2 linked regions of the Caenorhabditis elegans genome follow. The protein of the gene in region 1 interacts with the protein of each later gene in a pairwise test. Each region holds a gene or a part of one and is shown on either strand. Other genes may lie near its edges. The genes, in order: mei-2 and mei-1.

Evidence for each region.
Region 2: the proteins of mei-2 (region 1) and mei-1 interact in binary tests that used the Caenorhabditis elegans proteins (3 or more experiments, as listed by UniProt).

Annotation. Positions count from the first base shown.
Region 1 is NC_003279.8:6,559,646-6,575,269, reverse strand, and holds mei-2 (Meiotic spindle formation protein 2), read left to right. Parts: upstream 1-9,417; 5' UTR 9,418-9,419; coding exon 9,420-9,532; intron 9,533-9,578; coding exon 9,579-9,865; intron 9,866-9,912; coding exon 9,913-10,065; intron 10,066-10,112; coding exon 10,113-10,402; 3' UTR 10,403-10,521; downstream 10,522-15,624. Other genes in the region: ipgm-1 (2,3-bisphosphoglycerate-independent phosphoglycerate mutase), read right to left, coding at 2,840-2,950, 3,069-3,416, 3,460-3,894, 4,166-4,292, 4,494-4,641, 4,689-4,794, 4,842-4,996, 5,046-5,183 and 1 more; syp-6 (Thyroid receptor-interacting protein 11), read right to left, coding at 6,504-6,563, 6,611-6,690, 6,736-7,038, 7,082-7,444, 7,594-7,738, 7,783-8,268, 8,312-8,700, 8,748-8,873 and 2 more; bag-1 (BAG family molecular chaperone regulator 1), read left to right, coding at 10,821-10,980, 11,025-11,368, 11,431-11,559; tmed-3 (GOLD domain-containing protein), read right to left, coding at 11,735-11,914, 12,080-12,370, 12,423-12,563; xpg-1 (XPG (Xeroderma Pigmentosum group G) DNA repair gene homolog), read right to left, coding at 12,971-13,492, 13,579-13,710, 13,757-13,917, 13,968-14,441, 14,489-14,924, 15,182-15,265, 15,321-15,624. UniProt on the Caenorhabditis elegans protein: Forms a heterodimeric complex in conjunction with mei-1 which severs microtubules in vitro in an ATP-dependent manner. This activity may promote rapid reorganization of cellular microtubule arrays. May act to target mei-1 within the cell.
Region 2 is NC_003279.8:8,280,608-8,297,440, forward strand, and holds mei-1 (Meiotic spindle formation protein mei-1), read left to right. Parts: upstream 1-14,266; 5' UTR 14,267-14,274; coding exon 14,275-14,451; intron 14,452-14,501; coding exon 14,502-14,840; intron 14,841-14,886; coding exon 14,887-15,614; intron 15,615-15,933; coding exon 15,934-16,117; 3' UTR 16,118-16,333; downstream 16,334-16,833. Other genes in the region: phaf-1 (PHAF1 protein T01G9.2), read right to left, coding at 5,446-5,521, 5,986-6,047, 6,096-6,169, 6,215-6,327, 6,373-6,476, 6,673-6,847, 7,079-7,206, 7,257-7,397 and 1 more; dma-1 (LRRCT domain-containing protein), read left to right, coding at 1,459-1,662, 1,739-2,570, 2,723-2,907, 3,005-3,133, 3,183-3,290, 3,338-3,691; kin-10 (Casein kinase II subunit beta), read right to left, coding at 8,594-8,744, 9,277-9,466, 9,634-9,825, 9,876-10,032, 10,190-10,207; npp-2 (Nuclear pore complex protein Nup85), read right to left, coding at 10,799-10,870, 10,920-11,550, 11,618-11,751, 11,976-12,305, 12,358-12,893, 12,940-13,033; abts-1 (Anion exchange protein), read right to left, coding at 16,687-16,797. UniProt on the Caenorhabditis elegans protein: Catalytic subunit of a complex which severs microtubules in an ATP-dependent manner. Microtubule severing may promote rapid reorganization of cellular microtubule arrays.

The sequences.
Region 1 (15,624 bases):
AATGAAAATAGAGGATAGTTTTTAAAATTGAAGATATATGTATGTTTCATAATTGAGCTATTGAAAGGCTAAATTAATTTTTCAACAAAGAACGCACAATATTTCATAATTTTTCGAGTTATGGCCCCGGAACGAGAAAATCTGAATTTCCAAAATCTTTCAACATTTTTAAGTGATATTCTCAAATAAAAGTTCCTAAATCTTCAAAATCCGTTCACTTTTTCCTCATCATTATCGCACCGAAACCGGGCTTCATCCTCTTTTCGCTGTCACTTCATCTTCGAAAACCGTATCAATTATAATCTCGTCGCGTCCGCTTGTCCACACACTTCTGGCTTCTTCTCTACTGCTTTCTGGTCATTATATTCATTCTCTTATTAGGAAGTGAAAAGAGAGAAATAATGTTTCTCTTCCATTCCAAGTTCCTCTCTCTCTCTCGGTACAAACTTCCTTGTTCGTGTAAATCGTTTGTATTTCTACACAAAAAGGGAATCACTAACGGTATGTAGATCTTGTTATTCAATGCGGGAAAGATGACGGAAAGGAAAATGAGAAGAAGAAGAAGAAAGGAGAAGGTTCGAGAATAAGTTAAGAAAACTTGTAGAATAACAAGTCGTTCACCACAGGAAACCGGTTTTACAAAATCGGAAAGGATTACATTTATGTACAGATATTCGAAAGTTTAGGGGATTTATAAAATTTATGATCGATACGAAATAGTTCTAGAATTCACGAATCCCTTTTAAGACAGAAATTCCATAATTTTTTTTGAATTTTTGCTATCGAGTATTTAGTGTAAATTATCCATTTTCAGCCCAAAACTGGCTGCTATCCGTTGACTAAAATAAATGTCAAGAGCTTTCTTTCACTGAATGTGGGCGGAAATGAATGCAGAAGCGAGCAGCAAAGAAACAGTGAAAAAGAAGCTGAAAAGGGAAGTGAAAATATAATTTGGATTGAGGAAACGAAAAGATGGAAAGAAAGCGAAACGGGGAGAGCAGCTAAAAACGGCTATTCCATAAACAGAGCTAGAATTGAAGAAGAAGAGGAAAAAAGAGAGAAAGTCCTGAATACTGGACTCTTTAGTGGAGGAATGACGCGAGCATTTGAATTAACAACGTCACTTCGTTTGTTTTTTTTTTGTTGGAAATTTAAATAATTTTAAAAGATAAACATTAACTGAAAACCCACCTTCTTCAGATTTATGGAGAAGAGAGCGTGGCCACGTGGCAAATTTTGAGATGAGAAGACCGCTTGGGGAAGTTTCTGAAAGATTTGAATGGATTAATATTATATTAATCTGAAAATAACGAAGAAAACACAAATTCAACGTAAATATTTGAAAAAGAAGCCTCGACAAGTACCGTAATGCGTTTCTAAAGGCGCACGGATTTTTTCGGATGGGTCTCGCCACGAGAAAAACAATTTGCGGAAACTTTTGCGGAATTTTTTTCAAAGTGGACACTGAAAACACCAACAAAAAATCATTTGAATAAATCTCTGAGTTTCAGAAAATTGTGAAGGATATAAAAATTATTATGTCCAATTGCCTTTTTTCCTTTTCCATATAGTTTTCTGAATTTTTGGAGACCCGAAGAACTCGGGGGATGTCCTATTGGGGGATTACCAACTCGGGGGATTGGCCCCGCCCACAGAACCGTGGCTTGCAATACGCCCATTTTTGCAACTGCCGCACGGTTTTAAAATTATTTTTTCTTGTTAATTCTCGCTCTATTGAGAAAAATACAGTTTTAAAACCGTGCGGCAGTTGCAGAAATGGGCGTATTGCAAGCCACGGTTCTGTGGGCGGGGCCAATCCCCCGAGTTGGTAATCCCCCCAATAGGACATCCCCCGAGTTCTTCGGGTCTCAATTTTTGTATGCTCGATTTTTTTCTCAACAAAATAATTTTTCTTATTTACACTTTGTAAAGTTTATAAAATGTACATTTACTTAAAAACCAGAAAAATATTCTGAAGATTTAAAAAACGATGTAATTCTTTAAAATCTATGATCTGCTGATTAAATCCTAAAAAAATCCTAAAATTTTCTGTTAATTAAAAGGTCAGGCCATGTAGCCACGTATCTAGGGCAAGGTCATGTAATTTTCATGTTTTTTGCTTCATCAAAATTCGATCAAACACGTATTCAAAGTCAACGAAAAATAGAATTTCACCTAGTAATTTCGATTTTTCTCAATAAAACTGGGTTCGTGGCACAAATAGGTCATTTTAACTGAGTGATGCTAAAAAACGATAAGGAAAAGGCGAGGTTTCTGGAGTTTTCAAACGAAAGTGACATCAAAATGCTAGCAACATTTTCTCCAAAGAATTTTCGAGAAACTATAATGAAAAATGTCACACAGAGAGAGCATTAGAAGAAACGATAAGATACTAAATCAAGAGAGTTTGAGAAATTAAGAGACGCAGAGAAAACCAATGGTTTTTCTCAGTTCGTCCCAGTAAAAGTCCGATCAAATCAATCTTTTGCGAGCCGTCAGAGTGCTCCGCAGATGTGCTCAGTGTGTCTATTGGCCAAATGTCACCATCAATTGACCCTTCAAAAATGTTGAGCAACTGACTACAGAGCTCATTCCGGAGCAAGAAAAAAAACATAAATAGCAAATAGAATATGAGTCATCCGACAGGTCATAGTAATGAATGAAATATTTTCTCAGTGCAATATAATTTTATTCATACTAATTTAAGGATCTAAATACATAAAAATTTTCAGACTATAAACAGAATTGAATAGTAGGTAATTGGGAAGAAATTGGACAAAAGAATACTGTAGAAAATATAGTTCATAGAACTTGAATATTGAAATCATTGTACTTGAATCTAGATCTTCTGAACAATCGAGACCCCAGTCATTTCAGCTGGTTGAGGGAGTCCCATAATAGCGAGAACTGTTGGAGCAACATCACAAAGGGCCGGATGACGGTCGGCTGGCTGTAAACGTGTGAAGTGAATAGCTATTTACACCCGTTTGTAAATTAATATTTTCATTTAACATATGGGTTTCTGTTTTTTTTTAAATAAAAATTTCAAACGTTTGACAAAAACTCACATCGACAAATTTGAATCCTGGATGGCTCAAAGTGAGTGGAACACGGTAACATGTGTGAGCAGTGTGTTTTCCACCATCTGGAGCCTTCATCTTTTCAGCATTTCCGTGATCAGCAGTAACCATAAGTGAGTATCCGTGCTTTTGAGTTGCTTCATAGATTCTTCCGATTGCGATATCAGTAGCTTCACAGGCCTTGACAGCAGCTTCATAGACTCCCGTATGCCCGACCATATCTGGTGGAGCAAAGTTGCACATAATGAATGGATGAGTTCCAGCCTCGAGTTGTTCAATCATTTTGTCAGCAACGCCGGCCGCAGACATTTCTGGTTGAAGATCGTAAGTTGCGACCTGGAAATATTCAATTTTCGAAGTTATATCATCAAAGTATTACCTTTGGACTGGGCACTAAACACCTTTCTTCTCCCTCAAATTGTTTTTCAAGTCCTCCATTGAAGAAAAATGTAACGTGAGCGTATTTTTCGGTTTCCGCACAATGAAATTGCGAAACTTTTTGCTCGGCGAGCCACTCAGCCAATACATTTTTGTTCGATGCTGGCGGGAACAGCGATTTGAATGGGAACTCGGCTTTGTATTGAGTCATTCCATATACTTGAAGATTTGATGGATGAGCTAACTTCGAATTGCAATCCTTGTAACGATCCATTCCCATTGCTGCAGAAATCTCACGCATACGATCAGCACGGTAGTCGAAGAAGATGATTGTATCGTCATTTTGAACACGTCCTTTCTCTCCTTGAAGAATGATTGGCTTCAAGAATTCGTCTGTTTCATCAGCAGCGTAACGCTTGCGAACAACTTCAACAACCTGGAAAATGATAATTTTAGATATTATTTAAACTTGCTGAAATTAGAATTCGAATTTCTCTCGGAAACATTTTTAATTGAAATGAATTTGAATTTTTGTTGATTTAAAGTGAAAAGTTTGCATCTTGGTATATCATACATTGTACGGAAGAAAACTACTTTATATTTAGTAAATGATTTTTGATACCTAGAAAATTATAATTAAACGAAATCCAAAACTGTTCATTCTTCGTCTTTTGAATTGTTAATCAGTTTATACGCTAAAATCATACCCCAGCCTCATCGGAAGTCTCTCCAACACCTCCAATCATTGCCTCGTATGCAACATTGATACGCTCCCATCTGTTATCGCGATCCATAGCATAGTAGCGGCCAACTACAGTAGCTAGTTTTCCATATCTGAAAATATTTTTAAACATGTTTCCTAATGGGGTTATTCAAGTAATGTAGCGAAATGTATTTAAATATATTTGTGACGTCACAAATGTATTTAAATACATGTTTTTATATACTTGAATACAGTTGTGGCGTAATTTTTCTACACTTTTTAATTTTCCGACACTACTTGAATAACCCCATAAATTATCACATTATTCTAACCCAGTAGTTTTCTCCAAGAACTCGAGGGTTTGTTCAAGGAATCCAACTCCACTGTTTGGAGAAGTATCACGACCATCTCCGTAGAAATGAAGGTAAAGTTCTGGAACTCCGAGCTCTTTGATGGCCTTAACCAAAGCAAACATGTGATCTGAAATGAGAAAAATCATAAATTGAAAATAAATAAATGAATATTACCAATATGAGAATGAACACCTCCGTCAGAAACAAGTCCGGCCAGATGAAGACGTCCATTTCCGTTTTTAGCACGATCGCAAGCATCCACCAAGCTCTCATTAGTCACCTAAAATTTACGAAATATAATATTCTGAAATAATATTGGAAGCATACAAATTTGTTGTTCTTGACTGCCAGATTAATACGAACAATGTCTTGATAGATAACACGTCCGGCTCCGATGTTCAAATGTCCGACTTCCGAATTTCCCATCAATCCTTCTGGGAGACCAACATGAAGACCATGTGCCTCAATTTGAGCCCAATTGCCTGGAAAAATGTTCTTGGGTTAACAATTTTGAAATAAATAAAATCTTACCCGAACACAGCTTGTCCATAACTGGTGTCTGTGCGTTGAGAATAGCGTTACCGTAAGGATCTTCAGAAACTCCCCATCCATCAATAACGATGAGACAGACCTTATTGGCCACCGAACTGTTATTTGCCATCGCCATTCCTGAAAAATATCGGAATATGATGCAAATTGAAAAATTTTTGAGTTTAAAGGCGAAAACTATTAGCTGTTATAGGGGGATTGTGATTTCTCGCACAAAATATAAAAAGAATAAAAATACTAGATGATGCTTGTGAAGGAATTTCTTTCAAATATATTCGGAGCAAAACTTTTAAATGTAACCTCCATTAAAATTAAAACATTAGCAATCAATTAATATAAAAATAGGTATTAGAAAGAAAAAAGGACAATTAAAAAAAAGGCAAAACAAAATGACGAGATTATGAAAAATGGAATTAAATCAAAACTGTTGATTCGTTATCAAATAAGAAGTTTGATCATCGATCAATTTTGTTTCGAGAAATTTAAAATATAACCAGTGAGAAAAAAATTAAAAAAGAGAACAACAAGAATCCAAAAACCGCTCACCGCGTCGTCCGAAATATTGCCGATAAATTTGAGCGCCCAGGGCTACGAACATCTCTATTTCTCTCCGTCTCTTCTGTCAAGCACTATTTCATTGACTTATTGAAATGTTGAAAGAAATGAGAATAAAATTGAGAAACGTTTTCTGTGTGAGATTTTTGCACGTAAACAACTCTTCTATCACGTATCTCTAACATTTCTCTCATTTCTCAAGAAATTCTCAATTTCTCGTGCTCTCTTCTTGAAGGATTTTCTAGATGTTTGGAGCCGCGCTAAACTATTGATTCGAAACTGAACAAGAAAAAAAACAGAATTGACCCAAAATAGAAGTGTTTGAAAGCGGAGACGCAGAGAGCTGCACGAAAAATGATGCAAAAGTGAAGTATTGAAATTGAAAAGTTTTAGCGAGCGAAATCAAAAAAGTGTATCTTTATTGAGTTTAGTGTCCAAATAAAACCCTTTTTCTCGCACCGCCCGTCTTTTTCAGCGAGACAACGACCACAGACAAATGAAAACTATTGAAACAAGTAAATACATACAAACTTTTGTAATTTCTCAAGTACTCTTCTTTTCTAACATGCATGTTGACATGTAAAATTCTTCTTTTCTAACATGCATGTTAACATGTAAAATAAATTTTATAACAGTTATTTTTCCTGAAATTCGACGGTTTAATAAATATTTACAGGACTTAAACATTTAAATTGATTTTTAAAGATAAATTTAATTAGCATTTTGACAGTGACAGCAATAATATTGAAATATTAAAGAACAATGATTTATAACTTATAACAGATCACAAACAATAGGAACATGATGGAATAGTACAAGATTACGCGAAAATTCCGTATAAGAGGAACACAAAAAAGTATGAATTAAATTAGAATGTAGAAAGTTTTAGTCGTCACCATCCCAAATCGTTTGATCTAGACCGCCATCATCTGGAGCAACCAAATCCTGAAAACAATAAATGTTTCATGAATATTCCATTAAGAGACACAAACCTCATCATCCATGGATTCGTTTTCCTCAGATCCTTGTGAGAAGCCAGCTTCACTTTCAGCTACGTAGCTGTTGCCAGAGCCTGAAAATAGTTGCAAATTGTCAAGCTTATTCAGAATTCAAGAACCACTTTTATCATCTGCAACTGATTCCTCTTTTTTGCCAGATATTTTTGAAGAACTCTTCTTAATTTGCTCTGCAGCTCTTTTTGCTTTTTGTCTGTTATCGAATTCTGCCACATGCGCAGTCATGGAAAACTCAACGTCGTTAAGTTTTTCGTCGGTGCCTGTTGGATTGAAGAAATCATTGAGCATAGATTCATCCTGAGTGGTTCCAGATAGGATCGACTCTTCCGATGTTGCCGATATACTTGCAGCCGGATCGTGGCGTTTAGATGAAACACTCGCCGGGCGGTTAACTTCAGAGGGACCTGAAGTAATCAGAATTTTTCGTACTGTAAAAATTATTATTACGGCCGTAATTATGGGAAATGTGTTCCATTTCGCTTTCTCGGCGAACATTATCAGGCAATTTATCCATGTTTTTCTTGGCCTGCATTGTATCATACTTCTCCATATGAGCAATCATTGAAAACTGTGGACGCATTGAAGTTTGTTCTTTGCTAACCGGAGAATTAAAGAATGCATTCAATCCAGACTCATCCTGTGTTGTGCCTGTATCGTCATCGAATGTTGAATCTTCAGAAGTAGCAGATTCATTTAGCTCCGATGTAATCTTCCGAATAACTTCAGTGGGCGTTGCAGCGTCTTTGTTGATAAGTTTTATCCCTGGATAATGCACACCAATCGGTCCAATAGATCGTGTTGAATCTAAAACTATAAATAATTATAAATTTATTTCTTCTTTGACACAAAGTCTATTAAAAAAACTTTGCAAACTTCTTTGAAAGCGTCGTATTTTGTTATTCAAAAAAGTAAACATGTGGTTGTAATCAAATTGGTATAAAAACAATTAAACATCTTACCTGAAGTGAACGACGACTGCGACGTGGTTCTTTGGTTCCACTTCTTAAAACGCAATGATTTCTCCACATTTCGAACATTGTCACGCTGGAATGACTCTGGTCCGGGAAGTTCAGTGCTAGATGCCACGAGACGCCGAAAAGCCTCCTGAAACAAGACTTGTAATATACTGAATTTGAATGAATAAATACTTCTTTCTTTGATTCCACATTCTCTGGGGTGTCAGATCGTTCCACAGCACGGACAGTCACTTTCAATTTATTTAATGTGATTTTGCTTTCAGCAATTTGTCGCTTGACGTCCTCGATAGCAGATTTCTTCCGAGTCAGAACCTCTTTTTTAACGATATATGCGTTTTCCAATTGGTTTATTTGATCAAAACTCTTACGGACTTTCTTGTTCTGATATTTAATATCTTCCAACGACGCCTCGAGATTTATTATACTTTCTGAGTTTTCAGCTTCAGACTTTTCAAGAGTTTGCAGTTCATCGGAGAGCTCGCATACCTCATTGCAATCAGGAAACTTTTCGATAGATGTAAGATTAATTTTGTTAAGATCACTGAGGTCAGAGCACAACTCATTAAGAGATTCTAGTTGCTGGGTCATCATAGCTGATTCTTGGCTGATCACATCCTGTTTCAATGCGTCTTCATATATTTGCCTGGCTTCGTTTATCTAAATTATAAATTTTACATCCTTTTTTATGAAACAGAAATACCTCCTCTTCCAGTTTCGCTTTATAAACATTTTCACTCGTAGAAGAGTCTTTGACTGAAGAAAGCTTCTCCAGAGACAATTGAATAATATTTGACTCGAGATTTGTATTTACTTGAATCTCTTCTTTTAGCTTCATAATTTCTTTTTCAGTTTGAAATATAAGTTTGCCTGTTGAAGATTGACGCTTTTCCACATCGACTTTTTCATTTTCCAGGTGCTGAACAGCACTCGAAACTTCATCAATGGAAAAAACCATAGTTTCGTGTTTTTTTGCAGATTTTTCAATACACGCTTCATATGGAAGTGTGATCGAAAGCACTGACATTTCCATCGGAAGAGAGTGATTGCCCTTGGAACAGAAAAAATCCATTTTATCAATCGTGGAGTTAACTGAAACACGAAAACTAAAATATTAAAAGTTAAAAGGAAAATGATACCTTGATCAGTAGACTGTGCCAAAAATGAATGAAGTTTCTTCTGGTGATTTTTCACATCTTTATCGCTGACTGACATTTCTTCTGCGGCTGTTGCCGAATGTTTGACTTGTGAACAACACGAATCGACTGAAAAAATGTAATTCGTTTGCAACCAAGAACGAAAATCGCCTACGGAGTGCATGGTTTCTTGATAGGTCTCTACACTGTCTTTGAAAGCTCGAAAACTTTTTTTCGAGTAGGTTATTGCTGAAATTAAATTAATATAAACTGTTTCTTTTTTTGGTGACTTACTTTCTGATGATCGACTTGACTTTCGCTTCATTTTCCAACAAACCAAGTACTGGAGCCATTTACTATAAGAACTAAATTAAATATTAAATATATCGTTTCAAGAATTCATTGGAATGAGGCAAAAGTAAATACTTAGGATTAAAAAATCCAGCTTTATATTAAAAACTTTAAAGGCGCATATGAGATGTTATTCGGGTCCCGCAGCGCTCATGCGGGGTACGATAGTACTTCAAAGAATTACGCGGGAATTTCTTTTATGCGGGAAAACGGTTTTTTCTTGTTTACTAGTTCCTTTCTTTCGTCTAATTTTGATATCTTGTGTTTTTTTCCAATTATAAAATGTTTGTCTCTTCTTAAATTTGAAATTTTGAAATTTTTCAGATGTCAGGGCTTGACGACCGGAAAAAACTAACACATGCAAAAAATAGGAAGCCTCTCAACGACATTCCGAAATCCGCTGAAAACAGACCAAATACAAGATCTACTTCGAGTCGGTGAGTTCTACGAAAAAAGTATCTGAAGCGATTATATTTTTTTCAGACGCGGTGCGGAAAAGGACGTTCCCATCACTTTCATCGGGAGTTCTCGAACTGTGAAAGCCGATCTGCCCGAGTTCACAAATACTCGCTCAAGACGTCCATTGCATTCCGAGTCGAAGAAGGAATTGTCTCGGAACCCGGTTTCGAGAGGTGAAGAACATAGCAGTTCTTTGCCAAAATCCTCCCCAGAATCATCCGTGTCAGTCATGTCATCAAACGCGTCGTTGTGGTCCGCATGCACCGAGGAAGTGAATAAAATCGGTGTTTGTGCGAAGCGAGAGAGCAGAAGTAGGATTTGCAGAGTTTTGATTTTTCAGTTTATGTTTTCTTTTCAGATCTTCGTGTTTATAAGATGAAGAGTTTCACAAGTAACATGGAACAGATATTGTCAAACGACAACCAACTCGCTCCCACAGTCATTAGAATTCTGAATAGTAGAAACTCTTGGTGTCTCAACTCGTGCCATGCTTGTTTAACATTTATCATGGGTTGGTTTTGCTTCCTGATAAATTTATTCTAATGTTTTGTAATTCAGAAAATATCACGAGCGACAATTATGGGAAGCGATCGGCTTGCTTGAAGGCTCTTGCATCAATTACCAACAGTTTACTGGACACAATCATCGGATTTGCATCCACCAAAACTCGGCGAATTGGAGTCGATGTGGTAGCTGAAGAGCGAGCTGCAAAAGCAACAGAGTGCATTCACAATTTTCGCAAAATAGTTAAAAATCGGGACAAAATCTACAAACAGATTGACCAGGAGACAATTTACAAACTCGATGCCATTCTCGAGCGATTGAAAAAAGTTTCCAGCCATAAGTAATTTTCTTGTAAATAATTGCATACTTATTATTCAACCGATGGTTATCACCCAACTCACTGTTTATTTTATTGCTCATACATTGTGTTTCTTACATGTCCAATATAAAAACTATCATGTGCTCTCGTATTGTGACTTAAAAACAAAAATGGGCTAATTTAATGTCCCTCACAGTATCGTACGAAAACGGTGATTCATTGTCTATGGAATCGTTTTTCTCTGAAGTCTCTGAGCGAGTGCGCCCCATTGCAATCGATGTGTACACCTCGTGGAGGAACTGATTTTCGCATAAGCTTCTCGTCATTTCTAGAAGTTTCTTAATTTTCTAATAAGTTAACAATAATTTTGTTCCAATTTCTTATTTATCGACACTCGGAGGCTTCTCCCACTGCTAAAACTGTCTCAAAATCAATTTTCAGAAATGAAGGTGAATGTGTCGTGTTCATCCGTTCAAACTACAATCGACATTCTTGAGGAAAATCAAGGAGAAGACGAATCTATTTTGACACTTGGGCAGCTACGCGATCGAATCGCCACCGACAATGATGTTGATGTTGAAACCATGAAGTTGTTGCACAGAGGTTGTTTCTGATTTTTTGGAATAATGAGACAAAGTATTTTACAGGAAAGTTTCTTCAAGGCGCCGACGATGTCTCCCTTTCTACTTTAAATTTTAAAGAAAATGATAAAATCATTGTGATGGGTGGAAAAAATGCTTTGGTTGATGACGCGGGCTTCAAAATGCTCATGCAATATGAGAAGCATAATTTGAGCAATCTTCAAAAAGCCTATGATCTCAATTTGAGAGATGTCGCTGATTTGGAACGTGGTTTTCTCGAAAAACCAAAGCAGGTCGAGATGGGGAAAAAGCTGGAAAAGAAAGTGAAATATTTCAACGAAGAGGCGGAAAGACATCTGGAAACTCTTGATGGGATGAATATTATCACTGAAACTACTCCCGAAAATCAGGTGTGTCATAATTTTATTTTGTACTTTGAATAAGTTTTCGATTCAGTTCAATCAACTTTCAGGCTAAGCGAAACCGTGAAAAACGCAAGACGCTCGTAAACGGAATCCAAACTCTTCTTAATCAAAATGACGCACTTCTTCGGAGACTCCAGGAATATCAGTCAGTTCTCAACGGAGACATTCCTGAATAATTCTCAATTGCATAAAATTGCTTCGGGTTTTTATGTTATGAAACTCAGTTATAAATCAATAAATTATATTCTTATGCTATGTATCAAAGGGAGGAAAAGGGGCAAAACAACTGACGGGACCCATTAAAATGAGAAGGCTGCTAATTACAAAAAAAAGAGCAATGGTGTGAAAAAATTAATAACGAGTTCTTTTATCATTGAAAAATGATTTGAGCAGGAAAACTTGGCCAATTCCAATGAATACTACGACGGCAGATTGACCAAGGGACCAGATCATCACGCGCTCGTTGAGTTCTTCTGCACGTTTGCGACCAGTTGCTTCACGGAGACGATGATGAGTTTGATAGTCATCAATCTACAAAAAAGTTTATAAGTATGTCAAATGTCGGGTGAACAACTTTTTTAGTAAGCTCCCAGCAAAATAGAGTTGGAAAAATGAACGAATTCATAAAATTCGAAAAAGTTACGTTTTGAGCATTTTCTAATTGTAAAAATAAATCTTTTTAAATAAAAATCTTACTGTTCTCAATTTATCTCCAATAGCGACTGCATAATTTTCTAATTGAGTCATTGCATGAGCTCCTTGAGTAACGGCAGCATGAAGAGCATTTTGATCACCGAATTGCCAATCCATGTAAACGATTTTATGAGAGAATGTGGAGAATTCATTTGAAAAGCATGCTTTGTATGTTCCTTCAACTTCGGCCTTGAAGTTGATACTGTCGTACTGCTTTTTAGTATCTTTATACAAAACTTTTCCATTTGGATCCTCAATGATCAAGTCTACGTCATAATGGCCTCCAGTAACAACCTGAAATTATCAAATTATTACAGTTTCTACGATTTTCAATTGAAATACTAACTTGGAATTCAAACACTGTGTCAACATCCTTTTTCAGATCTTCATAAAAACACTGATTTGCGTTGTCTGGAAGTTCGAATGTCAATTCGATTGACAGACCTAGGGCCACAAGAATTGATGAAACTATGACAAATTTGAGCATGATCTTGGCTGAAAAGTTGAAATATTTTTACAAATTTATTCGAATTGGATAAGAAGCAATACAAAATTATAATTATTCTATTAATAGAGAGAAAACGTGAAAAGGAGAGAAATTCGACGCATGGAAAATGCCAACAGAACACTAGTTCAAAGGGGCGCACTTGCAGCGCACAATATTTATATTTAATTATACAATAAATATATTATAAATAGAACATAAAATAGAACACATTAGAACATTGCACATTTTGTGCTCAATTGTAAGAGAAGGCTAAATTCATTATTTTGTATTAAATATTAATATCAATAAAATATTCACAAATTGACAGAATAACTTCAACGTAATAAAAGAAATTGGTGTAAAATGCAACATTTTTATTTATTTTCAATAGATAAATTAGCTAAAAACTAAAATTCATCAAAAGAATCATTAGAACTGCTTTCCTCAGATAGATTCAGTTTACTATTAGCTGGTACAAGAAGTGCTCCTCCTTTCCCGCGACCTATTCCTCTGGCACGAGTTACACGTTTCACAGCTGTTTTGCTCTTCTTGATTTGTTTATCAACTTTCTTTTCTTTTGACATTTCATTGTTTTTCATAGTTCCCGCTACACGTTGTCCAATTTTGTCCAGCGCCTCGACAATTTTTTTCGACCATTTTAGTTCGAGAGAACTATCCAATTTCTGTGCGAAAAATCGGTCTAATCGCATTTGGCTTTGTCCACCGGATTTTAGAAAATTATTCCATTTTTCGAAAGCGTCAAATGAATTCTGCTCTTCGTTGTGCTGTTTGCGATCAGGCCATTGAAGGCGTTGATGAAGAATTCGACGGATCAATGGAATATTCATCTGGCGCCATCGAAGTTTTTCTGATGATGAATCAACGATGGGATGAAGGTAGGCATGCACAGCGTCTTGATTAGAGCACACCTGAAATTGAATTGAACTATTAGGAATTTAAGAGAAACATGAGTTTCAGTATGTTGTTTTGTTTTCAAAAATCTAAAAATAAGTACACATTTGATATTCTCCATATCGTTTGCTTCAGTTACATGTCTTCTCAACATCATTGCATTTCGACTAGCAACTCGTTTATCATCCGGAGCAGTTAAGAACAAACTTTCCACGTTTTTAAGGAGCCTCATGATCTGAAACTTTTCATAAGGGACTCCATCACATGTGTAATTATCTTACCCTGTTCTCAATGACTTTAAGATCATTTGTATTATCAATCCTACATTCAACATACTCGGACACCAGTTCAAGTGCACCAATGGCTCCAACTTTTACAAGTCCTGCACAATAATCACCCCCAGAGAGCAGAGCAATTGAAATGTAGTCCTCACGTTGGAGACCTAGATTTTTAGAATTCAGGAAATATTCTAATGTTTGCCATAAATCTTACAAAAAAGTTTGCAATTATCTCTATTCGCTGTTGTCTGCTCTCCATATCGTTGTACTCTCCGATTCTTAGAAAACATATGACGATATACATGTTGTGCTCCAAACGCCCACACATCACTATCATCACTAACGACACCATCAACTAATCCAAGTCTCTCCAGCTCAACACATTGAGCTTCCGCTTCACCAGGCGATTCGATCCACGGAATGCCTGCATTTGTAAGAAATTCTTGAAGATCACGATATAATTCAGGCGTCTTATCATCCTCATCACTATAGTTCAAATGAATATAATCTTCCATGAGAGCAGGAGCAGAAGATGTTGATGGCTTATCGTATCGTTGAGGATCCCATTCAATCTCCTCATCTTCACTTGGAACCTTGTGTTTCTCCAAGCTAGCCATTCTCTTATCCAATGATTTTGCAGCTGTTTCAAGTAGAACTTCTTGAAGAACCATCTCATCGTCGCTGACTTCTAAAAAAATAATAAAACAAGTTTTGTTTATATTTTAAATGTTTTACCAATCATATCATCTTCTATTCTCTGTTCCTTTTTTCTTTTTTCTTCCTCTTTCTTATCTTCTACAGTTTCAGTACCATAATGTTGTCGAATTCTTTTTCTCGCAATTGCTTCCAACATTCCCGATTTACTCTGATATCCTCTTTCTTTCTTGTCAATTAAACGTTCCTCTAATCTGTCAACAATCTCTTCTCGTACATCATCAGGTGTCACTTCTCTGCTTAATTTCTTTCCACCATATTCTACATTGAAAAAGTCAAGTGTCATTGATAAAGGTTCTTGATAAAGACTATCGATATCTCGTTTTAATTCTGGGCGAACTTCTTGAATCTCATCACTATGTGCATATTTTAAAATGTGAGAAGTTCCATCTGGTCCAGTTACGTTGATTTTATCAGAAGAGTATCCACCTGTGGAGGTTGTTGTAGACTTGGCTAACTGAAATTATAGAATGTGGATTTAAAGCGATTTTTCACTAAAAACTTTTCGGAAACCGTAAATATCCGCTTCAAGAACTACAGTAACCCACTTTTAAAAAATGTTTTTTTCTAAAGTTTTAATGTGTTTCAGAGTTTTTTTCTTCATAAATAAAAAAACTTCTTAAAAATGTGGAAAAATCAAAGAAAATTGAACGGATTATGACTTCAGTTTATACATTTTTATAAGTAGCAAATTATGTAATTCAATAAAGTTACTTGTTCAATTTCTGCATTCAGACGACCTCTTCTGAGTAGACGCTGCATTTGAAAATTGCTGAAACTTTTCGAATCTTGTGGAATCTGAAAATCGTTTTAGCTTATTGTAAAAACACTTTTTTAAAAGATAAAATCCAACCATATCAGGCCGTAATCTGCTATTTCTCATGATCTCTCTTTTTTCCACGAGACTTTGAATTTCCAGTTTCCGAGAAGTAAATTGTTTCGAAATTCGTTCTTCTTTTACAGTAGGTACAATAATAATATCACTATCATCTGAATCTGAATCTTCAATATTTCCATAAACAAGCTGATCATTTTGATGTGCAGAAGGTTTATCCAAATATGTGCTTGTTGAGGGAATATCCTTATAAATGTCGTTCAGAATTACTTTTTTCGATGGACTTATAACTTCTTTGATTGCATTCGCAAGTGCCACGTCA
Region 2 (16,833 bases), 1.7 Mb from region 1:
GACAACGAATGCGGTGGAATTGGGTTAAAGTTTGCCGACAACCCGGAAAAGATTCAATCTCAAACGGAAATTGAACATTTTGATTAATGAGTTTATAAGCGAAAATGTGTTGGAAGGAGCAATTTGACACTTTCTTTGGGTTTTGGATGCTGACGGGAATATCTTGCAATGAGATTGATTGGGTGTTGACATACAGTTTGAGAGGTCTCTTGCATTAGTCATTGGTCTTTATGATTTACCGAATCGTCGGATAAGAATCAGTATGCGAAATTAAGCATAATTTTATAAGAACGTTTTTCATGAAAATACTTCGTAAAGCTTTTATGACACGGTATGGATATTTACTGTAAAGTACCGTATTCCTCTAATTGAATTTACAGTATTCCCCTCGGTTGACCGGATAAAAAACAGCTCATTATTTGTCCACAGGATCCTTTATTCGATGCCAAGTGTATTCTGTGGTACTCGATATGACGGATGAATTACCACCAAATTTGAACCATATGTCGTCGACAATTCCGATGCTTGTCTTCTCCCACCACTTGTCGTCGTCATCTTCTGCTCAATTATCTTCGCACCATAGTCAATATGAACACTATCCAGAGAAAAGAGTCACCATCACCTTTTATTACCACACACACACACACGGGTACACCAATAAAAGGGCAAGTCGTAAACGAAAAGCGCCTGCCTGCTGACATTTGGTGATGCCCACCCTTTCACATCTGGCATCCTTGACCACTATTACAGGAAGACGTTTGTTTTTTTTCAATGCCCGTTTGAATCACTTTAGAGCATTCTCTATAATTTGGAGCTTTCGTAAAATCACTTTGAAGGGAAAATTGAAGAAATCTAGGGAACAGCCGGGTGCAATCGAGAACGGGGGCGAGTGGAGCTGCACAATTTAACAGAACCTCATGAATATATGATAAGTTCGTGAATGCAATCTCCATCAGAAACCTTAGCATGACGTTGAGATTTTAGGAGCAAAGTTTTGCTTGAGCTCAGATGATAATGATATTACATAGATCTTCACATAGATAAGCTCAACTTCGTCCTTGGAGATGGTTCTGAAATTTTTTAGAACTATTATATTCAGTCAAACACCCTCTTGCTTCCAAGAAAACTCAAGCATCCACCACCCGACGCCAAAAACGCCTGAAGCGGGAATAGATTTTCTTTTAGTGGTGTGATAATTGCCACCCTCTGGTACATGAAAACAACATTAGGTGGTGCTGTCAGGCACACATTGCTTCTTCCTCTTCTATCCGGTCATCCTTCTTCTTCTTCTTCCCATGGGTGGTGTCTCTGTTGACCCTCCTTCGCCTTAAGCCCCGCCCCTTTATCCGCCCGTCCCCTTCGCCTTCTCATGGTGTTTTGCCTCACGTTTGCTGCTTCTAGCTGCTGTGTTGTTTGTCTTCTGGAGAAGTCAAGGATTCTTTGTTCCGAATTGGAACAATGATTTCATACATTTTGCTTTTATTTTTAAGTTTTTTGGTATTATGCTCTATTGCACTACCATCATCATGTCCGAATCTTTGTGAATGCGATCAAAATGACTCGTCTTGGAGTGTTTATTGTCGAAAGGCAATCATAAACGATACGATTTACGCGGAAATTCTAAACCAACTTCCGTTGACTCTTCGATCACTTCATATTCAGGTTAGTAAACGATAAGATCTAAAACCACAACGTCCGTCCGTCAATCTAATCCCTTCATTTACATAAATTGTTTTAGCCGCCCTCAAATCGCATTGGTTCTAACAAACTTCGATGGAATGACAACATAAACCGTTTTGCACAGCTTCGAGTTCTTCGTCTCATCAATTGTCAGATTCCAGCAATGTCCCGATCCATTCGACTGCCATCTTTGGAAGTATTAGATCTACACTCAAACAATATTGAGCATGCGACAATGAGCAACTTTGGTGGTATGCCAAAACTTCGAGTATTGGATTTATCATCGAATCATTTGAATATTCTTCCAACTGGAGTATTCACATATCTTAGAGCCCTGCGATCATTGTCTCTATCCAATAATACTATCAGTGATCTTTCTACAAATTTACTTCGAGGTCTCAATTCTCTTCGAGTTCTACGACTAGACCGGAATCCTATTCCAATTGAACACATCAATGAGTTATTCACAGATGTTTCCCAATTGGATGAATTATATTTGAATCATTGCAATCTTTCATCAATTTATTCTCTGGCTCTTGATCGTATTCCTCAACTCCGTCAACTTGGAATCGGAGGAAATAATCTCAAAATGGTTCCAACTAAAGAACTGAGATCTCTTCCTCAACTTTCTGTTCTCGACTTGTCTCACAATTCCATTCAAGAAATCACAGCCTGTGCATTTTGCAATACGAATATCTCAAAATTGGATCTTTCCCACAATTTGCTCGGAATTTCGAAAGACTCTCCGTTTAACGAGGATGCGTTCCGAACGATGCCATTACGTCATCTGGATTTGTCATTCAATCATATGAATGATTTTGACTCAAAATGGTTGGGATGGGCACAAGAAGAGCTGACTTCGATTGCATTGTCAGGAAATTTCTTGAAAAGTGAGTTTTTGTAGCAAAAGTTAAAATAACCCCAAAACTAGATTTTTAAAACTTTTTAGATTGTTTTTAATTTAAAAGTTTTTCCGATTTTTAAATTTGAAGAACGGTTTTTCAAAGTTACTAGAGATGGCATAATTAATTTGTAATTTTAGATTTCGAGGAGTCATGGACCTATACATTGAAGTCGTTGATTCATCTCGAACTGGCCTACAACCACATCAAATTCATCCCGGTACAGCTGCCGTCTCGCTATTACCACCTGATTTCATTGAACATTTCCGGAAATGAATTGACTTATTTGCCTGACAATATCAACACTTTGCTTCCAAATGTGAAAGTATGTCCATTTTCTATACGAAATTCGAAGCGTTTGTGGACCCCCTTATATGGGGACACGCATGTCATTTGAAACCTGCTCACTGAGATTTCTTTAGACTTTCGACATCACAGCCAACCGATTCCACACCTTCTCGCATACAGATTTGGCATTCCTAAATAATGTTGAACAAGTGTACGTAGATGGAAATCCTTGGGATTGTTCATGTGCTATTCAAGGACTTCAAGTGAGTCTTTTCCTCTCTTATTTCTGAATTAATTCGAACATCTTTTCAGGTTCATATGCGAGATCGTTATGCGATGAGACACATTCTCAACTACGATAATGTCCGATGCGCGACACCATCGCTTGTGGAAGGTCATTCAGTTCTGGCAATTACCGACGTAAGATTCACATTCACGTTATTAATTTCACTATTTAAAAACTTCAGGTAAACGACTGTGCCGTTTTGTTTGGTGCACGGTATGGATTAACGCAAACAAGTGAAATGCTCATACTTCTCGCAGGAGTTCTCCTTTTTGCCGCACTACTTCTTATGATTCTTGGATGCATCTATTTCCTTCGTGAGCGACAGTACAAAGGATCATATGTGACACGAGAACACTCTCGAACTCCACTCACGATGGCAAACACACATAGTTGCTCTTCGAGTACAAATGATACACATGGTCCATTATCACCACCATTTGATCCATTCTTGGTTAGTACTGAAACATTTAAAGCCACTCCTCCATTGATTCCACCAGCACCTCCAAAACCTGGATCATCCTATTTTGGCATTTAAATATCCTTTTGAGAGTTTCAAATGTTTCAAAAATCTAAATCCGTGTGATTATTTGCATCCATCTAGTCGTTCGATCTCCCAGCCCCATTTTCATGTATTTTTGCCCCCTTTTTCGATACGGTGTTCAATTGTTTAACCCTTTGTCTGTAAATAAAATAAACTGCTCGTAGATATACCAAGTTCAATGAAATAGACAGGAGCCTTAATCAGCAGCATAATAGTAGTTTTCAAGAGGTAAGACACCTCTTCTCGGCCGTAAATCCGTCGGCAAAGAAGTAATAAATCGGCGAGGCTGTTGTCTTTACGCCCTGGTTCTCTGTGGGGGTCAACTCATTTGTCAAATGCACACCAAGACAAATGCATAATTGAGAAGGTTTCGAGAAGGAGAGTTGACTTTTTCGTTTAAAAAAACTCCGCGGGAAAATCTCCGTAGCCACAAAATTTTGACGTTTATGAATTGAAAATTGGTTGTTCGACAGGGACTCGTTAATTTATGAGTTTATGAGCCATTCGAATAATAAATTGATGTGCGTATGTATGTGCACACGCGCGCGAATTCGTGGATGTAGATTGCACAATCTGTTATGACACGTCGTCTCATCCGTTAGATTCCCAAGTGACACCCAAAACAATTGGAGTAAGCCAATGCCAATTAAGTTGGATAGATGACCACGAAGAACAAGACATAACTATGAAAAATGACGGATCGGTGTTCGTCGCACAAGTACACATGTAAACATCCGTCTCTTTCGATAATTACCACTATTCTATGCTTTTGAACAGTCAATAAAATTGTATACTTTCAGTTTGAGTATACAATTTTGTGATCGAATTTCTCTACGATTCAATAAACAAAAGCATCAATCTTCTGGAAGTCAACCAAAGCTTCTTGGATCAAAAAGAAGTAGTCTTGTTGAAACTACAAAAGCTAATTTCCAAGACTTGCCATCGTATGTTCGCGCGTGGTTTTAAATTAATTGACATCTTTCTTGTATAAATATTCTTTATATGGCAGCACATCTGCCTCATATTCAAAATTCCGGGGGAATTTGTTAATGAAGATTTAATATATCGACGACAAATTCAAAACCCAAAACCTTTGGTATAGATCCATTGTGGGTAGAAGCCTACTGTTGGTGTCCATAAACGGCGAATCACCTGTGTAAGGATCGTGAGCGTCGGTAAAAGTTTTCTATGAGCTAAAAAGACTACAATTTCAGGAAACCATGACGCAGGAAATTTTCAATCATACAAAAGCTTTCATCATTGACCATAGCTGTGTTTTCTTTGAAATTCTGATCCATCTTCCGACAAAAAATGAATTGACACCTTCTTTGTCCTCTCATTCAGTTTCTTTACTGCTTGATGAAATAAACTGTGCGGTGTCAAAAAACGAAGGTCATTAGTGTGTAGTAGTAATTCAGTCGTCTTCTTGTTAAATGTAGCAGATGAAAATTCGTACAAGTGTCACAAACGAAGAGTCTCTCTCTCTCTCTCTCTCTCTCTACAGAGTCGTAAATCTTTCCGGACGCCATGGACATGCAAGAGGGAGCCACCACTACGATTACCCAGATTATTATCATATGCGGAAGAAAGATTTGTCTACAATAGCCATTGCGTGTGCATTAGCGATCCCTTTCCCGGATATGTTCAATTACAAGGGATTGGAACATTAACTTCGACTCATTGACAGACAAAATATAGTACCCAATAGCAAGAATTGCTACAGTAATCTAAATCCCTAAAAACCTTACCAATCCCATTACAAAGTAGTTGAAGAAGAAATTTGGTGGTCCATAGAGTGTCTCCTTGTGAAGTCCACGATGAATTCTGGAAATTTTCAATATTCAGATGAAGCGGAAATTTTGATAAAGCTAGAAACTGTTAATGGTTAAATTTTAAAAACTTCAGTTTTCGAGAAATTTTAGGCGTTCCTGAATTTTTAAATATTTTTTTAATGAAATTTTCTGAAATCTTTTAACTTTTTTTTTCAAAATTTATCCTTTTTAAATATTAGTTGGAAAGTTGTTAAATAAATTTCAGGCATTTTGAAAAAAAAGAACTTTTTTCACAATTTTTTAATTTATTCATTGGATATTGCTGAATATCAACAAAATGCTATATGAATTATTTTTAATTGATATAAAACGCTTACATTGAAACCCTTCAACTTTTTTTAAGAAAATTTTTCTTCAAAAATTGTTTAAATTTTCAGTGGAAAATTCAACATCTATTGAAAATAAATCTAAATTTGTGAGAAAAGAATTTGAATTTTCAAGAGAACGAGAACGTACTTCATCTTGTCATCGGACTTGTAGAAGACCTTTGTCGGGGCTCCAAGAATCGATTGCACATCCTAAAATTTAAATTTTTAGAACAAATTTTTTTGATTGAGAAAACCAACCGAAACAGAGTCTCCAAAATAGATTTGTCGTGTGTACGTGGATACATCATACTCTCCATCGACAATTCTTCCGTCTGCAAATATTCACTTTTTTTAATAATTTCAAAAAATTCCAGTACTTTGAGTATCAAATTGAATATCAATTCCAACAATATTCCCATTTTCCCAAATTGCTTCGACTTTTCTCGTCCGATTTTGACCACAATAACACGAGAATGGAGTATCCACGGATCTTCAAATTTTGAGAAATAAATAGAAATAAATAATAAATTCTCACTCTGGCTCAGATGGATTTGGTCCACGATAAATGGACATCTTGGTAAGTTTTGGTTGAGAGTTGGCATCATATTTCAGCGAACGAAGATTTCCACCAAATCCAGGCTGAAATTGAAGAATGTTTGAAATTTCGGTTTTTGGGAGATATAAAAAACTTTTTGGAAATTAAAGGTGAAGTAGCGGCTGTAGGTTAGAAAAAACTCTTTTAATTTTTTACTATATTCGGTATCGTATTTTTGATTCGAAAAAACCCACAGACGGTACTCCAACTTTAATACCCAAAAAGATCAAACTACAGTACCCTGACTTCCAAATTCGAATTTTCTCCTCCATATGGGAAACAGAAAGATAATCCCGGCCAACTTTGCACATAGATATTGTGCTTATCATCATATGATCCTGGATGTGTCGATCCAAAAAATTCGTTGACCCGATCCAACGTCGCCATGTTATTTGGATCAGAGAAGATTGTATCGCTGAAAATTTTTATGAAGAAATTGTATGACTATCTTGGCAATTGAAATTGATTTTTTTTCTTTGATAGTTTCACAATGACCCGAAACGACCGAATTCAACAGAGAGAATTTTCAATTTTCAGATTTTATGCAAGGCTGAAATTTTTCGAATTTTCAAAACGCCATAATTTGTTTTAAATTCAATAGTTTTAAACGAGCTTCTGTAGTTTTTTTTTTTTGATGGTATCATACTTATAAGTAAGTGTAATCATTGAAAGATTATCCACTTCAATTAGCTTGATAAGCTGTGAAAGGCCATCAAAATAGAGACGAATTCCTGTAGAACCGATATAGATGATGATATCCTGGTAGAATGGATCCTGAATTTAATTTAACTTTATTTAAAAGTATAATTAGTTAATTTCTATACCTTTTTACTGTACTTCAATTCGACTTTTGTAAGCATTCTTGGATGTTGCTGAATCATTGCAATACATTGATTGATTGGCATACCAAGCACAAATTCGAATTGTGAACTTTTTAGACCAACATCTGGTACAACCTTGAATTTCTTTGGAAAATATTTATTATTGATTTTTTGACTTTAAAACAAACCGTGAAGCTCAGATCTTCTTCAGTTGATGGTTTCTTTGTGACTTGCTGTTTTCCATTCATTTTCGATGATTCAAAGCTGTAAAAGCTTTTATTTAATTTTTGAAGAGTTGGAGAAAAAACAAAGAAGAATTTTTAAACTATGATTCACAAGAAAAATATATATTAAAATTGAGAACTGATATTTACTTGGTATATTCTTTTCTAAATTTTTTTTCCGCCAATAGTACGGTACCCGGTCTGGGCGCGACGATTGTTTTCTGAAAACAAATGGGTCTGCGCCTTTAAGAAGTACTGTTATTTTAAACGTTCATTGCTACTGAATTTTTATCGACTTTTCATACTTTTTCCCACGATTTGTAAAAATTTTGTGTCGTTTTCTTTTATTATTTTTTTTAACAAATACATTTTTACCGAAAAACACTGAAAATCGATAAAAATTTTGCAGCAACGATAGTTTGATATTACAGTACTCTATAAAGGTACACGTCCGTTTTTATTTTACAAAAAAGGCGTATCGAGACCGGGGTATCGCCTTTTCCTCGCAAAATTTCACGTTTATGCAATATAATTTAAAAATATATTGGAATTAATGTGAAAAGCTGTTCAAAAGTTTTTTCTTCAGGTAAAATATGGAGCGTTTTCAAAAATTGTAATTTTGAAATATTTCAAAATAAGCAGAAATCAATGTGCTAATCGTTAACCAAATCAACTGGAGATATTAAAACCGTTCAAATAGTAAATAAAAAAGAAAAGAAACACATGACGTCGATGGCAGAATCGAAGGCTGTGACTGAGAGACTGCAGTAGAGCGCACTTTCCCGCCCAGCTGTTTCCGCGTGACGAAGACAGGCACAAATAAATAACGTTGCACTTTTTACACAGAAAATTAGGAACACTCTTTTTGAGATGTATGGGATCTACCGTTTCATTCATTTCTTAAATTCGCATAATGTTGGAATAGAACAGATTTAGAAAAGAAGAGAAACACGCATGGAAGAACCGCCGGATTCTTGAGTTTTGTCGGAAAAGAAAATTTTGGGGAGAAGAAAAAACGAAACAATGAAGAAAATAAGGATGTTGTGTTGAGAGGGGGGACATTCTGAATGGAAACTGGAAAGAAGAAATCAAAACAAAAATAAGGAAGAAAGTGGCTCAGAGACCATAATTATTGAATTGTCCTCCAGATTGTTGCCCGGCTGGAGTCGTGTTGTTTTGTGCTGCGGCAACGTTATTCGCCGTATTTCCGCCGCTGTTTCCCTCCTGTCCTCCATAAGCAACAGGATGAATTTTGAAACCGTAGAGTCTGAAAATTTTGATATTTAAAAATTTACACATAACATAATTATTATTGTACTAAGTTCTGCTAAATTTTTAAAGTGGATAAAATATTATTGTTTGATCTTCTAATTTCTAAAATTATTTCGAATCTAATTTAGTACAGCCAACTTATTTCGGCAATAGAGTAAATCTTCTAATTTCAGTCTACCAAGTCAACTTTTTGAATTAAAAATGATTTTAGAAATGTGTCAAAATATTTTATTGATTCGAAATTGCAACTTATTCTTGTTGAAATATTTGAAAAAAGATCTCAAATAGAGCCTGAAAGTTGCCGAATGCCGAAAAAATAACCTTCAGACACTAGTCGTTTTGAATTTTCCAACATTATTAAGTTGTGTTTTCGAATCAAGCAAATATTTTACTTCATTTTTTATTCAAAAAGTTTAATTGGTATACTGAAATGAAAAGATTTACTCGATTGCCGAGATTTTAAAGATTTTTTAAATTAGAATTTCGGATTTTCAAATATTTAGCTTAATATATATCCTCTGACATACTTTGGAACGAATTGAGTGACTGGTCTGCGTGGACGCAGATCAGGATGAACAAAGAAGAGCATATGTGGGAATCCGGTGCCAAAATAGCTTCCATCAGTATGTTGATGACGTGATGATCGTGGAACGAAAACATCATTGCAACGTGGACAGTACAATTTCACCATAGCCTCGCCAGGAACATCAGACAATCCTGGAAAAATTGGAATTTTACAGAAATTTTAGTGTAAAAACAAATATTTGTTTTAAATTTTATTGGAAATGCACTTTTAAATTAGGAAAATTTAGTACTTTATAGTTTCACTTTTCTCAAAAAAAATTATCCGCAACCAATGAAGTAGCGATTTTTTTATAACTCACCAATTGGAAGCATTGGCTGATTTTCACAGTAGACACGTGGGCAAACTCCAAAGTCATGATCACGCCACTTTTCGACCATCTGTGAGATTCCTCTATTCGTAAGAATATATCTAGCGTGAATGAGTCCATAAAGCATTTCAGCGGCTTGTTCAACAAGATCAGTGTTCGTTGCGTTATCCTCTATGTCATCTTCTAGAAAAAGGTTACATTGCGGGGGCACATGAAGTCAGCAAAAATATCACCTGGTTCTAAGTCAAGAATCATGTCAAGAGCCTGTCGATACTTGGGCACTTGCTCATTGAGACCTGTCAAATTGAACCGATCCTGAATATATTCCTCGTCGACTTCACAGAAAAACTCATTTCCACGAAGGCCACAGAACCATGTGATCCATGATACCTGAACAAAAAAAAAGATTCGAAACTAAAAATAAATTTCACCAATCGACCATAAAACTTGTTATTAAATTCATAGTTTAAAATATAAATCATTAAAAAAAACGGCTATTTAGATTTTTCTGATTGTTTTCCGCAGAAAATAGAAATATAATACAAACCTCCTCCGAACTACTCATGACTTCTGATCCAGACAAACTAGCGCTTTGTTCTGACTGCGAACCAGACTCTGCCTGTAATCAAAAGAAATTTTTTTTTGATAATATTTTAATGATAACTCACCGAAGTGGAATCGAGTTGGCGCCAGCGAGCAGAAGCCGTGGCGTTCACGTCGATGACTGGCCGAGTTGCGCGCAAAGCACACAACTGCCTGAAATTATGGGTACAGGTTGGGTGAAATGGTTCAGAATTATTGAAAAAAGCAGAAGAAAATCAATAGATCACAGTCATGTGCGCCCACATAAATTCATAAACTCCAGCAGTTTTCTGTCGAAACAGAAAAAAGAGGACGAGGGAGCTGACGAGGCCTTGTGGACGTGCAATGGGGCACGGTTGCATAGCACATAGGTCACTATCGATCTCTGGGGAAAACTCGAAAAGAAGGTAGGTTGGCCTCGAAATTCAACGAGTTTGTGTGGAAAACCAAGTAATAGTAAAAAAATTAAGAGATGTGATCCTTATTCACATACAAAAAATTAAATTTTCTGAGATCCCAGAACAAAAAAGAACATCGGCAAATGTAAATAAAATAAAATTAATTCATAAATTATTCAAGAGCACGCAATTCCTTTCGCAATCGAGTCTGTCAACTTGAGCATTACCATCTTTTTGAGCACTTTCACCTGTAACAATTTATAATTATATGATCATAAAAATGTCTATAAAACTTACCTTTTTCATATAATTATCATTCAAATCTCGATGTTTATCAAGCGTAAACGTTGACAAAAAGGTTGAGAGCTCATAGAGAATCTCCTTGGAAAATCGGATTCCAGCACGCCCATCCTCTTTGATAATCGTGATTAAATAATCGAAGAGATCATAGTAATACTGAGTTGGAACATCAGGCATCATAATAAGCGGTATCAGATGTTGAACACAGTCCAGTACATCACCACAGTGCATCATCTTCACAAATCGTTGATAAGAGTAGAGGAAGGTAAGAGATGGAAGTGAGAGTACAGAATGATTGGTTATTGAAGATAAAACTCTTAATGCAGCCAATTCATCCTTCGAACTTGAACCAACAATTCGAGATACTGTCCAGTCAATTGTCTTTTTGGATCCAGTTTTCAACGCCCAAGCGAGTGTTGAACTCCAATGTCCTTGCTTCAGATACCGGAAAGTCATTGTATTTGTCACACAACTTTTCGCGTCTTCCAGTCGATGCTCTTCACATATTTCCAGCAACTGCTCAGCCATCTCATCATCCTCAATGTGAAGCCCTTCGATGTGTGTTTCGAGACGTAGAAGTCCTTCGGTACCACACGCAATAAGATATCCGGCTCCGATTTCCCACAGACTATAAAAAATTTGTGAAGTTATATTTTAAAATGTTTTTTCAGTAATTAGAAATTTCAAAAACTAACGGAGAATGAGAGATAAGAACACTGGCGTAGTCCAACATGTGCATTTTCCTCATCACTTCAAACTCGGGATCCAATGTGGATTTGTGAATAAGATCAACCAGGTGAACTGCGAGCCAGGGATTCGAGGCAATCAACTGAAATTTTATTCAGTAAAATTAATTAATTCTTATTTAAAACAATCTAGAATTTATTTTGAAGAAAATTGTTAAATATTCTTGAACATTATTTTGATTTTTTTTTATTGGGATAAAATTGAATGAAATGTTCTGTCGCCGTTTAATTAATCGTGAAAGAAATAGTGAGCCTATTTTCAAGAGATATTTATATTTAATTTAATTTCTTGAATAAAAACAAGAACCTGTTGAAAGTTAATATCATCCTTCGAAATAAGACACCAGAATACATCATTTTCCTTTGCACCCTCCTCTTCCTCTTCTCCAACGAATAGTGTTCTACACTCATCAGCTAGCTCAATGAGCTCGACATGTCCGGCGAATGGATTCTTGACAAGCACAAAGAATGGCAGAAAATGCCACCACGTGTCGAAAATCCGTGAAGCCATAGATACGAGGTATCGTTCCTCACCGAGTAGGAGCTTCGTAAGATATTTGAAATTTTCGTTGCTCCCGTACTTCCCACTTGTCAAATTTTCACGCATGATATCCTTCCATTCATTTACTGTGTTAGCCTGAAATAAGAATATTACGAAGTTTAAGAATTATTATATAAATGGGTCTTACTAATGCTTCGTCGACTAAGTTTTCGGGATTGAAGAATGTGAGAGCCTCAATGAATGCATCACATTCTGATCCGCCTCCATGTAGCTCCAACAGTTCAACACAATCGCTGAAATTGCAACTAAGCAAGCTGACTGCTACTCCCTTCCAATATTCTTCTGGAATCGTCTTCCCCGGATGCAGATATTCCACAGCTGATTCCATGGCTCCTCTAGAAAACGTGAAGCTCTGATTGGCCCATGAAATAAGATCCGCACATATCGAGCTATCACCTCTTCCAAACCATAATTTCTCGTAAAGTGACCACAAAGCAAAGTCTGTCATGAAGTCGGAACTGCTGTGAGACACGGCGGCATTGTAGAGAACTGAACGATAAGCTCGAGAGAATGTGCAGCAAGTAGGCGTGTCTAGAGGTGCATCAGGTGAGGAGCCTTTTTGACATTTATCAAATACAGAATACATTTCGATAACAAGTCGTCTGAGATTTGGTGTCGCAAGAATTTGTCGATTTTGTGAAACTTTCTCGACCAAGACTGTTTCTGAAAAATCTCTTATGTTGGAAACTGAAGAAGATGCAATTTTTACCTTTATTTGAAAATCCTTTTTTATCTGTTAGGAAGGCGAAGACCGTGGAGGAGTCGCTGACAGCTATCCCGAATTCTCGAGCGACATCCGTCATCTGAAAGAGATACTAATGTCATGTGAAGTGGTATTAAAAATATAGTAAGCACGGTAGAAACATTAACTTATAAAATTGAGATTTCTGATAAATAAAATTTTTCCGGGAGTTCTGTAAAACTTCTTACGGTTTTAACTTGATAATTCCATAGGGTTTAAAATTTCCTTTTGTTTCTTGAGTTTCTTCTCGGAATTTGAACAAAAATAACGCGTTTAATCTCGAATCAGTACAATGATGGACTACACGGCAGTTTTAAAAAACCAATTAATAATAATAATCCTAAAAAATGAGAAGAATATTTAAGAAAATGTAAAAGTTTTCCGCGGAATTCCGCTAAAATTCGAAAATTGAAAGTGTTCAAATTGCAAGCGATTGTGCATTCAGACGTGACAGTGTCTGGGGTGTATTGCGTACTCGACATTTTAACTGACGACACTTGTACTTTTGCGCCATACTTCCGGAGCTCCAGCTCCGCGGAGCCCTGAGCAATTATTTTTTTACTTTTTATGAAAAGCTTTCTATAGATATCTTTTAAGAAGTTACACTATAATTGTGCAAATCAAACTGGCTCCGGACAACACAAATTTCGTCTATACCTTTATGATCTTTTTTTGTTAAACAAGTGAAACAATTATTTCCTTTTCAAACTGCTCTTGTTTCTTCTCTTTATTAATCAATTTTTTTTTTTTTGCTTTGTGTAAATTAATTGTTTGTCGCGGATGAGCTAATTCTGAGGTTTGACCAGCAGAAATCTGTTTTCTGAAAAATCAATAACTCGCCGCTTAATTTTGGTTTTATTCAAGTGATATGCAATTAGAAGGTTCTAATCATTTATATCTCGCTGAAAGATCTCAGATTTCAAGCCTTTTGCTAAGGATTTAATTCCTAAAACTTTTTTTGACCTATCATTTTTTGTGTGATCTACCGCTGTAAATACTTGTTGTTTTGCGGCTAAACTCTTTCAATGTTTCCAACAAGTGAGCCAATATCAAGTAAAAAAAGAAAAATCGTTTTCTATTCAACCATTTTATTCTGTAAATAATATTAAATTCATCTTCACGGTACAATCTTCTTCTCCCATCTAATAAAGTCCACGCACACTCCGTTCCGTCGTTTCCCTATTCGTTATCATTCATCATCTTGCCATTTTCTTCTCCGCCAAATCCCATTGTCTTATACTAAATTTCATCCTCTCGTCTGTAGAAGTGTATATTATTGAAAAATTAAAGTATATTTTCAGGATGAATGGGGATGTGCAGTCAGTCATTCGCGGATATCTGGAGCGAGCCCAAGTCGCGAAAACAATGTCCGATGCCGGACGATGGAATGAGGCTGGTGATCTTCTTCGTCAGCTCATGACAGATGTCAAAAGCTGTAAAATTTCGGCAAGCAACAGAGACGAGCATGACGCAAGAAATGTACGTAATATAAATCTTTTAAAAGCTTGTTGAATTATTTGAAATTTCAGACATTCCTACGAGCCCTAGAGGCTAATTTGAAGCTTGTCCAACAAAATGTGCGCGATGAAGATGACCTACACGAGGCGATGACGCGACAAAGTGGAAGTCCAGAGCCACCTGCAGACCCAGATGTTTGGTCCAAACCATCGCCACCGTTACCATCCTCATCGAAATTTGGAGCAACAAAGAAAGGAGTTGGAGCAGCAGGTCCACGTCCCAGAGAAATATCAAAGTCAACGTCGTCGATGAGCACGAATCCGGCTGATGTGAAGCCTGCGAATCCAACACAAGGAATACTGCCTCAAAATAGTGCTGGAGATTCATTCGATGCATCGGCTTATGATGCGGTAAGTTATTATGTTTTCCAGAAACAAAAATCAGAAATCTTTTCAGTACATTGTTCAAGCGGTGCGTGGTACAATGGCTACAAATACGGAAAATACAATGTCTTTAGATGATATAATCGGAATGCACGACGTGAAGCAAGTTCTGCACGAAGCCGTCACTCTTCCACTCTTGGTGCCAGAATTCTTCCAGGGTCTCCGTTCACCATGGAAAGCAATGGTTCTCGCTGGACCACCTGGAACTGGAAAGACTCTTATCGCACGTGCGATTGCTTCAGAGTCTAGTTCAACTTTTTTTACCGTTTCCTCGACTGATCTGTCCAGCAAGTGGCGTGGTGATTCCGAGAAGATTGTTCGTCTGTTATTCGAACTTGCACGGTTCTATGCTCCATCCATAATCTTCATCGATGAGATTGACACACTTGGTGGACAACGTGGAAATTCTGGAGAACACGAAGCGAGTCGGCGTGTTAAATCCGAGTTTCTGGTACAAATGGACGGGTCACAGAATAAATTCGATTCGCGACGTGTATTCGTGCTGGCCGCCACAAATATTCCATGGGAGCTCGATGAGGCACTCCGAAGACGTTTCGAAAAGCGAATCTTCATTCCACTGCCAGATATAGATGCAAGAAAGAAGCTTATCGAAAAATCAATGGAAGGAACTCCGAAATCCGATGAAATTAACTATGATGACTTGGCGGCAAGGACTGAAGGATTCTCAGGAGCTGATGTTGTGTCTCTATGCAGAACTGCTGCTATCAATGTGTTGAGAAGGTAGGTAGCAGGAATGTGCAGAAAATCTTTTTGGAAAACGTGCTTGTTTCAATAAGATAATCCAATATTTCGAATCAAAAACTGGTATAGAAATGGCAACTTTCATGCACTATTTAATGTTTTTAAACGCTTGTAGACAAAATTAAATAACATTTTAAGATGAAATGAACCGTTTTTATAAATTTCGATATCAATTTAAGATTGAAAAGTTGGATTATCATAATTAAAAAAAAGCCAATTTTGTACGTTTGCTGAAAAAATTTTGCTAATCGCGATGTTGCAACACTTTTTTCAAGAATCGACACTAAGAATCCTTAAGATATTTCAGATACGACACCAAATCATTGCGAGGCGGGGAACTGACAGCTGCAATGGAATCACTGAAAGCCGAACTCGTGAGGAACATTGACTTTGAAGCAGCTCTTCAAGCAGTTTCACCAAGTGCTGGTCCAGATACAATGCTCAAATGCAAAGAATGGTGTGACTCTTTTGGTGCCATGTAAATCAACTATTTATTGTGATCTCCTTTTAGTTTAAAATATTGTGGCCTAGCTTTGGTTTTTGAAACTCTGAAACATTGTACAGATAAAATTTTCAAGGCCACCTTCATCCAAACATCTCTCCCCGATTCACTCTTTCCTGTAAAATACTTATTGGTTAAATTTGTATGTAAAATGAATCATTTTGCCACTCACTGGATTATTTGGAAATATATAAAAGTTCATTTGTGAAAGAAATATAAGAAAAGAAGACAGTGAAAAAAAACGATACAGGAAAGAAAATAAACATCGATTAGAAAAGAAACTGAATAAAAAACCGCCCTTATGAAGGGTAACTATTAGTGGATAAGTGTTTAGGAAATTTCATGTGTGAATTTTAATTGTCTAAAAGGTTAACATTTTGGAAGAAGAAAGATCAAAAAAAAAAGAAAGCAAATTTTGTGGAACACGATTCTCTTACGGGGGATAACAAACGGAATTATGACGGTGGACTGTAAGGAAAAATTGAGAAAGATCTGTGATGGGCTGGACCACGATAAGAGGAAGTGGGGAAGGCTTTCAAATTAGAAAAATTAGACTTTTGGTTCATCTGGATTAGTTTTTGGTGGTTCCTCATCCTTCAAAAGTGGAGTATTTTCAGTTGTTAAATTCGATGTCGAAGTGTGTGGAGACGGACGAATTACCTGAAAAACAGATCGTTCAGATATTTTACTAAGTTT